Stegostoma tigrinum: one gene and its partner. The protein of the gene in region 2 purifies or fractionates together with the protein of the main gene of each other region. This does not show direct contact. Links are inferred from orthologs where the notes say so. Each region holds a gene or a part of one and is shown on either strand. Other genes may lie near its edges.

What was found. The genes of interacting proteins can lie anywhere in the genome.
Region 1: the proteins of numa1 (region 2) and wdr76 purify together in Homo sapiens (affinity purification with mass spectrometry; 3 studies listed by BioGRID and IntAct, with this or other methods). This does not show direct contact. The link is inferred for Stegostoma tigrinum from reciprocal best matches to the Homo sapiens genes NUMA1 and WDR76.

The regions. Positions count from the first base shown.
Region 1 is NC_081386.1:34,101,328-34,108,189, forward strand, and holds the start of wdr76 (WD repeat-containing protein 76), read right to left. Parts: upstream 4,770-6,862; 5' UTR 4,564-4,769; coding exon 4,261-4,563; intron 3,017-4,260; coding exon 2,918-3,016; intron 1,951-2,917; coding exon 1,886-1,950; intron 875-1,885; coding exon 748-874; intron 1-747. UniProt on the Homo sapiens protein: Specifically binds 5-hydroxymethylcytosine (5hmC), suggesting that it acts as a specific reader of 5hmC.
Region 2 is NC_081359.1:110,956,108-110,962,969, forward strand, and holds the start of numa1 (nuclear mitotic apparatus protein 1), read left to right. Parts: upstream 1-3,122; 5' UTR 3,123-3,142; intron 3,143-3,297; coding exon of another isoform or gene 3,298-3,386; exon of another isoform or gene 3,387-3,551; intron 3,552-3,616; exon of another isoform or gene 3,617-3,809; intron 3,810-6,862. Other genes in the region: lrrc51 (leucine rich repeat containing 51), read right to left, coding at 3,298-3,386. UniProt on the Homo sapiens protein: Microtubule (MT)-binding protein that plays a role in the formation and maintenance of the spindle poles and the alignement and the segregation of chromosomes during mitotic cell division.

The DNA of each region.
Region 1 (6,862 bases), on a different chromosome or scaffold from region 2:
AACCCAATGGCACAACACTTCCTCCCACACACTGTATGCTTCCCATGCACATGTAATTCCACTCCCTGTGTCACACTTGGGTAATCTTGGATAAGCATATGGATAATGATGCGAGTGTAGGGGGGAGGGGCTTAGATTAGTTCACAGGTCGGTGCAACACCGAGGGCCGAAGGGCCTGTTCTGCGCTGTATTGTTCTATGTTCTACCTCTCTCTTTCTTTCTCTCTCATTCCCTGCCCCACATGGAGGTGTACATTCAGTTATGTTAGAGCACGTGGGCTCCCTTTCCTCCCCTTCTCTCACACACGTCCCTGTCGGACACTAAGGAACTCTCTGCCTCCTTCCCACATGCATGTGCACGCCCCACGTTGTCCATCAGTCAGTCAATCTCACTGTGTTGTCTCCCTCACATGCATGCACGCTCTATCTGCCTCCCTCACACTCAGGTGCTTTCTGCCATCTCCCTCAGACACATACTTGCCCAAACCCCCTCCAACACCCTCCCTGGTGTTTGCTCACGCAGACAGATGGTGTTGGAATTGGAAATATCATGCCAAAGTACAAAATCCTGCAGCTCTGGTTAAGGTGCCATGTGACAGAGCCATGTCACCTGTAACATGTATCTACTTTATGATGATTATCCCAGCACTAACCTCATCCCTGTCCAATCAAAACCTGTCAAGCGCAAAAGAAATGTTGAATCTGTTACAAATCCTGGATTCGTAGACATGTAAACAGTGAGACTCACCCTCTCTTCCACCTTCTCTTGTATTTCTATTGGCGTTTCTGGGAGTGGGGCACCTCCTGGGTCTAATCTCAGTAAACGCATCGATCGGCGAACTATAGGCTGCTGCCCAGAGCTTTGCAGTTTCTTTCTGAAAGTAAGAGAAAGGACCAAACTTGTAATAAAGCTGCATATGATAGGACAATAAGAATAAAACAAATACACCTAAACAACAGATCGATAATTAGCTTTTCTTGTGAAATTTCTGCTGCTAAGCCATGTGTCAGATTAATTTTAAATTTTCTTGACTGGCTTATAACAATTAATTAGTTTCCCTCCTAGTTTGACATCATCGGAAATGTCATGAATTTCTGAATCTCAACTTATCAATTTGACTTAGAAGATCCAATATGGATTTTTGTGGCAGCTCCTCACTACATAACTTCTGTAAGATGCAATTTTTATCAGCTATCCAACCCCACAATTTATCATGAGACTCTTACAACTATCTTTTTCCCTTTGAAATTTCGGAAGCTCCACTATCAAATTATCCCTATTAATGTTGCTCTCTCAATGTGTGCTGACATTGTAAAGGAATACAATGGAACAGGGCAGCCACGTGGAGTCAAAGTGAAGCTGAATTTGGGGAGGTGATGGCCGTGTGGTACTATTGCTGGACGGTTAAACCAGAGACCCAGATAATATTCTGGGGACCTGGGTTCAAATCCCACCACGACAGATGGTGGAATTTGAATTCAATAAATACCTGGAATTAAGAATCTAATGATGAACAAGAATCCATTATCGATTGTTGGAAAAAATCCATCTGGTTCACTGATGTCCTTCAGAGAAGGAAACTGCCACCCTTATCTGGTCTGGCCTAGATGTGACTCCAGACCCACAGCAATGTGGTTGACTCTTAACTGCCCTCTGGGCAATTTAGAGATGGGCAATAAATGCTGGTCCAGTCAGCTACACCCACATCCCCTGAACAAATAAAGAAAATAAAAGGTAGAAAAACAGCCATGACTTGTGTAAAAGCAGACTAGGCTTGAAGGACTGGATAGCCAACTAACACAAGAGATAATCAGATATGACTCAATTCAAAAATACATAATACTAAACTTCACAGATCCTCTAACTGCATCGCACTAAATCATACCTTTTAGGCGCCTTTGGTCTTTTTACTGGCTGCTTTTTACTGATTTCTCTGAGTTTTTCAGCAGTCTGTAAAATAAGGAGAGCAAATTCCTTTGTGGATCAGCGGAGAACAATTTACTTTGCTGTGCCAAATACTTCAAGACAGACCAGGTGAGAGGAAGGACTTGCTGGACATTCTCTCCATGTGACTGTCCAGACAAGGACAGCCTGGTGTATCCCCAACGCACTGTCTGAGCCTTGACCAGGGTAAAACACAGTAAGTACAATTCTATTGTCTCTTTTTATCCTGACCACTGTGAAAACGTGTGAGCTGAAGTGATGTTCAGATGTGCTCGATCCAAAAAAAATTAGAGTAATCTAGCATAGAGGACACTGGGCCCATCAATGTCCCTATCCTTTCACAAACCTATCAAATTAATTACACTCCCCTTCTATTTTCACACAGCCCTGCTCAGTACGTTCCCTTTAATTGTCTTATTCTGGGACTGAAGGAAGTGAGCAGGGTAAAAGATTGAACAAAATGGTAAGAGGCTCAAAGGCTTAATGATTTGCTCTTGTATCTTACGCAATAACTTCCAACAGTCTCTATTCAATCTGTTTCCATGACCTTTTAGGACAGGGTGGTCTTAATCACAAGAGTTTGCTGCTTAAAAAGAAAGGTTTCCTCATTCTGTCTTGCATTCTTTCATCAAGTACCTTGACGTCTCGGTTTATTGACATCCCTCCCACTGGAAACAGTTTTCCTTCATTTAGTCTACATCAGTCTTTGAGATGTGGTACACCACTATCCAGGACAGCAAACTGTCTGAAGCATTGCTCCAAATCCTAGAAAACCATTGGTCACCCAGGTGTGGTTTTGAGCAGTCATGCTGACTGAACCACTTCCTGAGAGACAATAAATCTTGTGTTTGATTGACTTAAATCATAAGCAGAACCAACTCAGCTCAACAGCCTGGTGATAAACAGCAATAATGAAACAGAGGATAGTGGCAGACGGTAGCTGGTCTTGAGCTGCTGCTGTCCATTAATTTACCTGCAGCATATTCAAAGATGCAAAGAACCGGGCATTTTCCTGAATGTTTTTCAGTCGCTTCTTCTCATACACTGACAGCTCCTCAGATTTTCGATGAAACTAAAACAAAAAACATAACATTGACAGGTACAAACTCCTCATTTGAATAGATTCCTGTGCACTCACTATCTCAACAATCTCGGTCCATCTGTTCAACAGCAACAACTCGGTGCCATTAGAGGGACAGTGGCAAGGAGTTGGAAAGCATGGTCCTCTCAGACAAAAGCAGTTGCTCTAAAGAGAAAGACAAAGATGCACTGCAGAAATACATTTGCACATCAATGAATTAACCTCTCAGTTTTCCCATTTATGGAAGCTGGTCAAACTTGGATCATCAGTTGTACACTTAAACAAGGCAAAGCAATTCACAATACGAAAACCCATAGTGTAATAGGAATAAAACAAAAGTCAGAAAGCTTAAAGACTTAAAAACAGAAATTGCTGGAGAAACTTGGCAGGTCTGGTGGCATATGTGGAGAGAAAGCACAGTTAATATTTCAGATCCAGGTACCCTTCTTCAGAAGTCAGATGCTGCCAGACCTGCCGAGTTTCTCCAGCTATTTGTTTTGGATTTCCAGCATCCCCTATTCTTTCAGTTTAAAGCCTTGTTTGATGTTACTCCAATTACCCCAAATAATGTAAAATCATAGAATCTAATGGCATAGGTGGTTATTTGGGACTTTGTACCTGAACAGACTCTTTGAATTATTAATTAGACTGAAGTAATTAGTTGAGTGATCAACTCTCAGGATATAAATAAGGAAGACTCGGCTCAGGTAGAGAAGCGGTTGTGTCTCTAGCTCTGTGTTAGAAAGTCCATAATAAAGCGCCATCTTCCCCAAACATGTTTCATAATAGGTTCGTACAGATTGCTTTAAAATATCTATAAACTATGGCACACTTTTCATTACAGATGGTTGGTTAATGGCAAACCACAGTGAAGCCCCTCTCCTCCCCACTGCTCTCACATGGACCGTGACCGCACTGCGCACAAACACTAAACATACAGGACCAGCACAGGTGGGAGCCTCCCGCTCGCTATCGGAGACAGAGTCCTGGGAGTCAACAAATCGTGACGACACGCAAAAATTATTGGTAAAATCTTATTAGATATTCGTCCCACTCATCATACTTGGACAATTAATTAATTGTCCAAGTACAAAAGTAACTTGCATTTGTATAAAAGGCCAGATGGACTTGGTTAAAGCTGTAGGTTGCTATTCAGTCTTAAAAAGTGGAGGTGAAAACACATATAGCTACAAGAGAGATGTTAAACTAACAGTTAACAACTTCTAATTTCTTACCGCCATAGGAAACTCATCGTCAGCGCTGAAGCCATCCGAGTCACTCTGCTCTGAGGTGCTCATGCCGGTCTCTGCAGGGCTTGTTGGCCCAGAAGAGGTGCCCTCCTCAGCGGCTGGCATTTGCTGCTGGTCAGGCCCGGCCGGGGTCATCGCCGTGTTTGATCGCCGGGGCGGGGGCTTCTTGTCCGGGTCCTCTCCTCCTCCGGGCCCGGGGAAGGCCGCTTCGAGCCGCCGCTTTCGGTTTCCCGAGGCCGCTGCTCGCGGCTGCTGCCCAAGTGCAGTGTCCTCAACCCTGGGCTTCATGGCCCGGAGGGAAATGCGGTCAATTTTCTGGTTTCAAATGGAAAAAAGTCGGCACCGAGCGGCCACTTCCGGGGGAGCTGTAACTTTTCAGTCCTTACATAAAATGTTACATAAATTGTTACATTTCCCGCGCTCCGCCTCCTGCTGCCGGAGATAGGACACTTTCACATCCGCCATCTTAGAAACCGCAATGCCTCCCGGGATACCTAGCTCACCTGAAAAGCGGCTGGAGAAGATTGAAACGACCAAACTCTGCAATTAACAGTGAAATAAAACAAAGAAGTGCGAATGAAGATCTGAAACAGAAACAAAACTTGTTTGAGAAACTCAGCAGGTGTGGCGGCATCTGTAGAGAGAAAGAGTTCGTGTTTCAAGTCCAGTGAGCCTTGTTTGGATCAGGCACGCACTGCCCCAAAAACCAATGGAAAGCAGGTTGTAAAGAAACTTTTACATAGAAATTACTTGATACGAAATAATTTGCACACTAGTTAAGAGAAAAAGGTAGTGAAACTTATCTGATAGCCCTTTTTAAGAGGCAGAACAAGGGATGATGTGAATCAGCTCCTTCTGTGCTTTTGTTGTTGTAGGATATTCTACATTGGTTGGGACAAATAAATCAATCCTCAACAACCCGTTTGTGTTCAATGTTTAAAATACAGTTGGGTAATGTTAGCTGTCACAAAGATAGCTAAAACTTCTAATTTTCAGAAAAACGTAATGTTATCATCCATTCTATTCAGTCTTGGTATTGAAGTGTAGTCACGAGTTATCTTTATTAAATTCATAAAGGGTTAATTTAGTTGTCTAAATCTGCGGTGCTTTGATTTGAGGATGATACTTACTCAAGGTTGCAGGTTTTTGTCATGAATCTTGGGTGAGACTGAGCAGGCCAATTCCGATGTTTGGGTGCAGAGCAAGATGTGCCACAGTAACAGAAGCACAGTTTCAGGATTTGCTCCCTTTTCTGTCATTCTCTGCCTTCAGTGTGTGTCATTTGGACTCACTTTCCTCTTAACATAAGTTGTAAAACTAGATGTAGGCCATTCAGCCCATTGGGTCCACTCCACAAATCAATGAAAACATGATTGTTCTGATAATCTTTACCTCCACTTTCTTGCCTTCTAGCCATAAATCTAGATGCCCCTAATGATTATAAAGCCGTCTCTCTCAGCCATGATCTATTTAGTGAAACATCTTCTACAGCACTGTGTGATAAAGAATTCCATTGATGCATTATCCTCCAAGAAAAAATCCTCATGTGCTAAATGGGCAATTCCTTACTCTCAAATCATGTGCTGTGTTCATAGAGTCCCTTATTAAGGGGAAACAGCCACTCAGCATCTAGTCTGTCATCTCCTAAGATTCTTGAGTTCCAATGAGGTATCCCCCTCAGTTTTCTACACCTAGTAAGTATAAGCCCAACCTACTTAACCTCTCCTCAAAATCCCTCTACCTGGCATCAAGTCGATTTTCTCCAGACAACCTCCACTGCTAGTATATCTTTCCTCAGATAAAAGACCCAAAACTGTTCACAGTATTCCAGCTATAGTCCAATGAGGTCAGAAATGGGGATGTTTGCTGGTGACCAAACACAAAAATTACACTTCTTTTCCCCTTTGAAATACAAATCACCATTACATTCACATTCCCTCTTCCCATTAGAAACTGGACGCTATCATTTTGAGATTCCCTTCCATGCTGAGCTTCCTCTAGTCTTTCACTTTTTTTTCGAATATTCAGCTCTATTTTTCCTGCCAAAATGCATAACTTCACATTACATTCCACTGTCCTGTTTCTGACCACTAACTAGGTAACCAACAGAAGGGAAAAACATACTTGATCTCATTTACTAATCTGCCAACTGCAGATGCATCTGTCCATGTCAGTATTGCTAAGTGTGACTATTGCGCAGTCCTTGTGGAGACAAAGTCCCACCTTCATATTGAGAACAACTTCCATCGTGTTGTGTGGCACTATCACTGTTCTAAATGGGGCAGACTTTGCACAGATATAGCAACTCAAGGTTGGGCATCCATGAGGCACTGCGGGCCATCAACAGCAGCAGAATTGTACTCCAGCGCAATCTGTAACCTCATGGCCCGGCATATCCCCCACTCAACCATTACCATCAAGCCAGGGGATCAACCCTGGTTCAATGAAGAGTGCAGGGATCAACCTGGTGAAGCTTGCACGCCAAACAGCGAAAGCAGCAAGTGATAGAGCTAAGCGATCCCACAACCAATGGGTCAGATCTAAGCTCTGCAGTCCTGCCACATCCAGTGGTTAATGGTGGTGGACA
Region 2 (6,862 bases):
ATGCACCAGGGAGCCCTTACATATTATGTATGATTTTATTCTCACTTGTATTTTACAGTAAGAATACAATAAAATACAGTGAAAAGGTTTCATTTGTTCCTGTGATTTGGTGCCATTTGAATAATTTAAGAATAAGGAAAGAAAAGATATGGCTTAGAGAGAGTCCATTACTCCTGAGCCAACTTATCACCATTAGCGGTGCCAATGCCGCCATCTCTCCTCCACTGCTTCACCGCTGTCTTCATAGGACACAACCAATATCAAAGTCACCGATCCTCAGGCACCATCTTTCGCCACTGGGCTGCTACTCCTCCACCACCATCTCACCACCACCTATGCCAGACCATCCAACACAGTCACATATTTTGCTGCTGGGTTCATTTCAATGTCGCTATGATGCTCTTCCACTACCGCTTTGCCGCCACCAGCCCTGGATCCAAACAACGATGAAGTCACTGATTCTCAGGCACCATCTCACTGACTTCACCTCTGCTGATAGAGCAGTCGCCAATTCCAATGCCAGGTCCTGTGTTTGCCCCCAAAAAGCAAGAAGTCACTCGAGGCCCACATCTGGCTCATTTGAGATTCATGCTCTCATGCTGCCAATGATGTCTGAGCTCTGGACAAAAGGTAAGCAAATGTATATAGGAGAGAGAAAAAAAGAACAAGAAAAGACAAAGAACAAGAAAATCAGTTGGAGCAGATGAGCTCCAGCTCAAGAACCCTATTCTGATGCCACCTTGAATGTAATTGAATTCAATTGTAATTGAATATTGGAACCATTATAACCTCAGTTATGGCAGGGCAGCAGATAGTCTGACTCCCTTTAGTGGTAGTGCAAGGGACAAGTCCCAATCTTTTGGGAAGGGATCTGCAACAGAAAATCTACCTGGATTGGCAACAGATTTTTAAAATGAGTACCAATGATCTATACAAAGTCATTAGGAAGTAACCCGAAATGTTTGAAGAGAGCTTTGTGAAAACTAAAAGGCACCAGAGCCAAGATCTACGTAGACCCAGAGGGCCTACCTGAATACTTCAAGGCATAACCAGTTCCCTTTGCTCTACATACAAAGGTAAAAGTTGAATTAGACTGACGAGGGGAAAGTGACATAATTCACCCAGTCCGATTTGCTGAACGGGCTGTGCCAATAGTCCCAGTGGTAAAAACCCCGCCCCGCCCCGCCCGCCCCCCCATCTGTCCCAGCCTGGGACCAGTCTATGCACGCCAGGAGTAGTGGCTCTATTTGATATTCAACATTAAATGATGTTTCTCTCCAGTTGGGCTTCCTCAGTTGTTACGCAAGGATATTAAAAGTAGCTACAGAGATAGTGGTACACCAGTTGTAATCTTCCAAGAATGCTTTGAACTTGGAAAAGTCCCAAGAGGACTGGAAATATAGCACCTTTATTTACAAAAAGAATATATTAATCTGTCAATTGAAAATATTAGTCCATTGTAAAAGGATGTAATGGTAGCACATTTAGAAATACATAATGATAAAACAGAGTCAACATGGTTTCATGAGAGTGAAGCCATGGCTGACAAATGTATTAGAATTCTTTGAACAGGTAACAAGCAGAATAAATAAAAGGGGAAGCAATTGATATAATAGATTTAGATGTTCAGAATTCCAGAAGTCATTTGATATGTTCGGCTACTTAGTAACAGCCCACGGCATTGGAAATTGAATTTAGCATTGACAGAGGATTTTCTAACTAATAGAGGGGGTTGGGATAAAGAGAGCGTTTTCAGATGGCAATCTGTAACCAGTGGTATGCCACAGGGATCAGCATTGGTGTCACAACTACTGATAATATATATGAATGACTTAGATGAGGAATATTATATACCCAAGATTTCAGATTACATAAAAAACATGTGGGTATGGTTTATGAAGAGGTTTACAGACAGGAATGAAGGGTCAGGCATTAGAATAGATGGATCTTCAATGACATAGTCACGATGGCCAAAGGCCTTCTTGTGGCATAAAATCTCTACCAAACCAAAAAAAAAGGTCCTTCGGCACATTGTGTCTGTGCCGGTCATCAAGCATCTTTCCTTGTTAGTCCCATTCTCCAGCACTTCTGTTCTAACGGCCCACAGCCTTCTGTTCTAATGCTTTGCAAATGTTCATTTATTAGATGTCTTGAAGGTCCTTACTTCTACCACGCCTTTAAAGCAGTGGGTTTCAGCTACCCACCCTCTTCTGTGCTGTAAAAATTGTATACCACTGCCAATTAGTATTATACTGTACAAGTCCAGTAAAAATCTTGCTCCTTGCCAATGTCCTGATGATTACAAGGTGAAAAGTTTTGACAATGTGTATTTTCTTTTTCGGCAACACTGAAGTTCTGATTCCAGCCTTGGATGATTGTGCAAACTCCATACTGACATTCTCCCTATGTTTCCTCCCACAGTCCACAAGTGCACGTTAGGTGGATTGGCTATGCTAAATTGCCCGATAGTGTCTGGGGATGTGCAGGTAAGGTGGATTTGCCATCGGAAATGTGTGCTTATGGGGATACGGTGGGATCAAGTGGAATGCTGTCCAGAGGGTCAGCACAGATGTGACGGGCCAAACGGCCTCTATCTACGTCTTATGATTCTACGACTATGTATCAGAATTTCATGAAACATACCCAAAGAAAACCAAATGGAGTGAACAGAGTGTCAGTGATAATGGGAACTGCAGATGCTGGAGAATCCAAGGTAACAAAGTGTGGGGCTGGATGAACACAGCAGGCCAAGCAGCATCTCAGGAGCACAAAAGCTGACGTTTCGGGCCTGGACCCTTCATCAGATTTGTTCTCTTGAACAGAGTGTAAACTGTGAAACTGATTAACTCAAGGTTTAGTCTGGAAGTGTGTAAAACGCCTAATAAAAAGGTGAGGAGCTGTGTGTGATATTGGATGGACCAGTGTCTACTGCGCGCTCTCACTTACTGAGGTGCTTCAGCACAACCTTCCTCTTTTGGCATCATGGGGTTGCTAGGGGCAACACGAGCGGTGGCTGCGCGTGGCCTACTGGAAGTTGTAGTTTCCGCGCCAGCAGCCACCCGCGGAGGGACCTGGCGAGGGACTAGACTCTCCAGCGTGACTTGGAGCGGTTGCGGCCAACCCCTGCTATCTCCTGATAAAGGTGGGCAGCTTGTAAACCCGAGAACCTTTTCAAATACTGTTCCTTTCCCGCGGCGGGTGAGCTATCCGTGGTCCGGTGCGCCACAGGAATGACGACGGAAAGAAACGACTGACGGACGGGACTACAAATCCCAGGGTGCCAAGATAGACACTCACCCGGCAATGTTGCGCGACGTCGAGGGCTTGGTGGTTTCCTCCTGTTCGTCCGCCACCCATTGATTCGTGTCGCTATCCACCACCTCCATTTCTATCGATCTGTTTGCCGCTTATCGCTCTAGTCAGCCATTGCGGCGGCTGCTGCTGCTAGAGGAGGAGGAACGGCTAACGACGAACTCCCCCGCCTTTTTTTTGTTGTGGCAACGTCATCACGTGTATTTTCCTCCGTACCGGGTTCCCGGATGTCAGAGACGACGCCAGTTACCCGGATTTGGGGGGGGGGGGGGGGGGGGCGGGAAGGTGATGTACGGTACCCGGATGGAGAGGATCACGTGCCCCTTACCCAACACCGGGGACCAATGGCGGCGCAGCCTGGGGAGGCGGGGCCCTGGTTTGAAAGGGTCGGGGCCCGGGAGGCCTCAGAAAATCAATGCCGAGGATCCTGCGGCCTAGTCCAGGATCGACGCGGCAGGCTGCTGGGGGTTAAGAGCTATTCGGAGTGTACGTCTGAGGTAAAACGAACGATTAAGGGTCGGGGTAGGCCGTTGTGCCGTTCGGGTCTGAGCCTGTCCTACTCCCACTGGATGGATAAATGGAAGGCCTTATCGTAAAGACATGTAGGGCAGGACCGCAGATGCCTTACTGTAAGGGACAGGTGTGAAGCAGTGGGTTTTAACAACCGGTAATGATGACCTAATCACTGAGACCAGGCGCTAAGTTCTGGAAAACGGATGTTTGATATGAGCGGCGCGGATACGAATAGCCGCAGGGCCTCTCCGTGTTGTAAAATAAACCCGATAACTAGCTTTCAATTATATTCTTCAAGGAATGTGGACGTCGCGTGCCAGGCCAGAGTTTATTGGCCGCAGGTTAGCTAAGAGTTGACTACATGTAGGTCAGACTAAGTAAGGATGGCAGATTTCCTTCTCTGAAAAACAGATGGGCTGTTTCCTGACTGACTTTTAACAATGGTTAATTCCAGATTCCACCATCTACCTTGGCAGGTCACCGGAACATTACCTGGCTCAATGCTATTAGGCCATTGGTTCCCCTTAATTTCGGACTGTTTGTTTGAGCATGTCAAAAAGATTGTTTTGACATGAATTTACGTTTGTAGTAACTACTGTGGTGGAATTTGAACCAATTTTCCCCCAAACAAATCATCTAGGGCATTTGAGGTTCTGGTCCATTGACATGACCACTAGGTTACCATTTACCATGAAGTTTCTTTATAGAAACATAGAAGATAGGATCAGGAGGAGGCCATTAGGCACTTTGAGGCTGTTCTGCCATTCTTCACGATCATGGCTGATTATCTAAGTCATTAGCCTAATCCTGCTTTCTCCCCATAACTTTTGATCCCATTTGCCCCAAGTGTTATATCTGATTGCCCCTTGAATACTTTCTGTGGTAATGAATTCCATAGGCTCACCACTTTGAGTGAAGAAATGTCTCCTCATCTCTGTCCTAAATTGACTACCCTGAAACCCCTCACTGTGACCCCTGGTTCTGGACACACCCACCATTGAGAAACATCTTCCCTGCATCTATCATGTCCAGAGATAATGGGAACTGCAGATGCTGGAGAATTCCAGGATAATAAAACGTGACGCTGGATGAACACAGCAGGCCCAGCAGCATCTCAGGAGCACAAAAGCTGACGTTTCGCGCCTAGACACTTCATCAGAGAGGGGGATGGGGTGAGGGTTCTGGAATAAATAGGGAGAGAGGGGGAGGTGGACCGAAGATGGAGAGAAAAGAAGATAGGTGGAGAGGAGAGTATAGGTTGGGAGGTAGGGAGGGGATAGGTCAGTCCAGGGAAGACGGACAGGTCAAGGAGGTGGGATGAGGTTAGTAGGTAGGAAATGGAGGTGCGGCTTGGGGTGGGAGGAAGGGATGGGTGAGAGGAAGAACAGGTTAGGGGGCAGAGACAGGTTGGACTGGTTTTGGGATGCAGTGGGTGGAGGGGAAGAGCTGGGCTGGTTGTGTGGTGCAGTGGGGGGAGGGGATGAACTGGGCTGGTTTAGGGATGCGGTGGGGGGAGGGGAGATTTTGAAACTGGTGAAGTCCACATTGATACCATTAGGCTGCAGGGTTCCCAGGCGGAATATGAGTTGCTGTTCCTGCAACCTTCGGGTGGCATCATTGTGGCACTGCAGGAGGCCCATGATGGACATGTCATCTAAAGAATGGGAGGGGAAGTGGAAATGGTTTGCGATTGGGAGGTGCAGTTGTTTGTTGCGAACTGAGCGGAGGTGTTCTGCAAAGCGGTCCCCAAGCCTCCGCTTGGTTTCCCCAATGTAGAGGAAGCCACACTGGGTACAGTGGATGCAGTATACCACATTGGCAGATGTGCAGGTGAACCTCTGCTTAATGTGGAATGTCATCTTGGGGCCTGAGATAGGGGTGAGGGAGGAGGTGTGGGGGCACGTGTAGCATTTCCTGCGGTTGCAGGGGAAGGTGCTGGGTGTGGTGGGGTTGGAGGGCAGTGTGGAGCCAACAAGGGAGTCACGGAGAGAGTGGTCTCTCCGGAAAGCAGACAAGGGTGGGGATGGAAAAATGTCTTGGGTGGTGGGGTCGGATTGTAGATGGCGGAAGTGTGGTAGGATGATGCGTTGTATCCGGAGGTTGGTGGGGTGGTGTGTGAGAACGAGGGGGATCCTCTTTTGGCGGTTGTGGCGGGGGCGGGAGCGGGGTGTGAGGGATGTGTTGCGGGAAATACGGGAGACGCGGTCAAGGGCTTTCTCGATCACTGTGGGGGGAAAGTTGCGGTCCTTGAAGGACTTCACCAGTTTCAAAATCTCCCCTTCCCCCACCGCATCCCTAAACCAGCCCAGTTCGTCCCCTCCCCCCACTGTACCACACAACCAGCCCAACTCTTCCCCTCCACCCACTGCATCCCAAAACCAGTCCAACCTGTCTCTGCTTCCCTAACCTGTTCTTCCTCTCACCCATCCCTTCCTCCCACCCCAAGCCGCACCCCCATCTCCTACCTACTAATCTCATCCCACCTCCTTGACCTGTCCGTCTTCCCTGGACTGACCTATCCCCTCCCTACCTCCCCACCTATACTCTCTCCACCTATCTTCTTTTCTCTCCATCTTCGGTCCGCCTCCCCCTCTCTCCCTATTTATTCCAGAACCCTCACCCCATCCCCCTCTCTGATGAAGGGTCTCGGCCCGAAACATCAGCTTTTGTGCTTTTGAGATGCTGCTTGGCCTGCTGTGTTCATCCAGCCTCACATTTTATTATTATCTATCGTGTCCAGTCCTGTTAGAGTTTTATAAGCCCCTATGAGACGCCCCCCCCCCCCCCCCCCCCCCCCTGTCATTGTCTGAACTCCAGTGAAAACAATCCCAACCTAGTCAATGCCACCCCATACGTTAGTCCTGTCAGCCCTGGAATCAGCCTGGTAAACTTTCATTACACTCCCTTGGGGACAACAGCATCCTATCTCAGAAAAGGAGACCAAAACTGCACAAATATTCTATGTGTGTTCTCACCAAGGCCCTATATAACTGCAACAATACATCCCGACTCCGATACTCAAAATCTCTTGCAATGA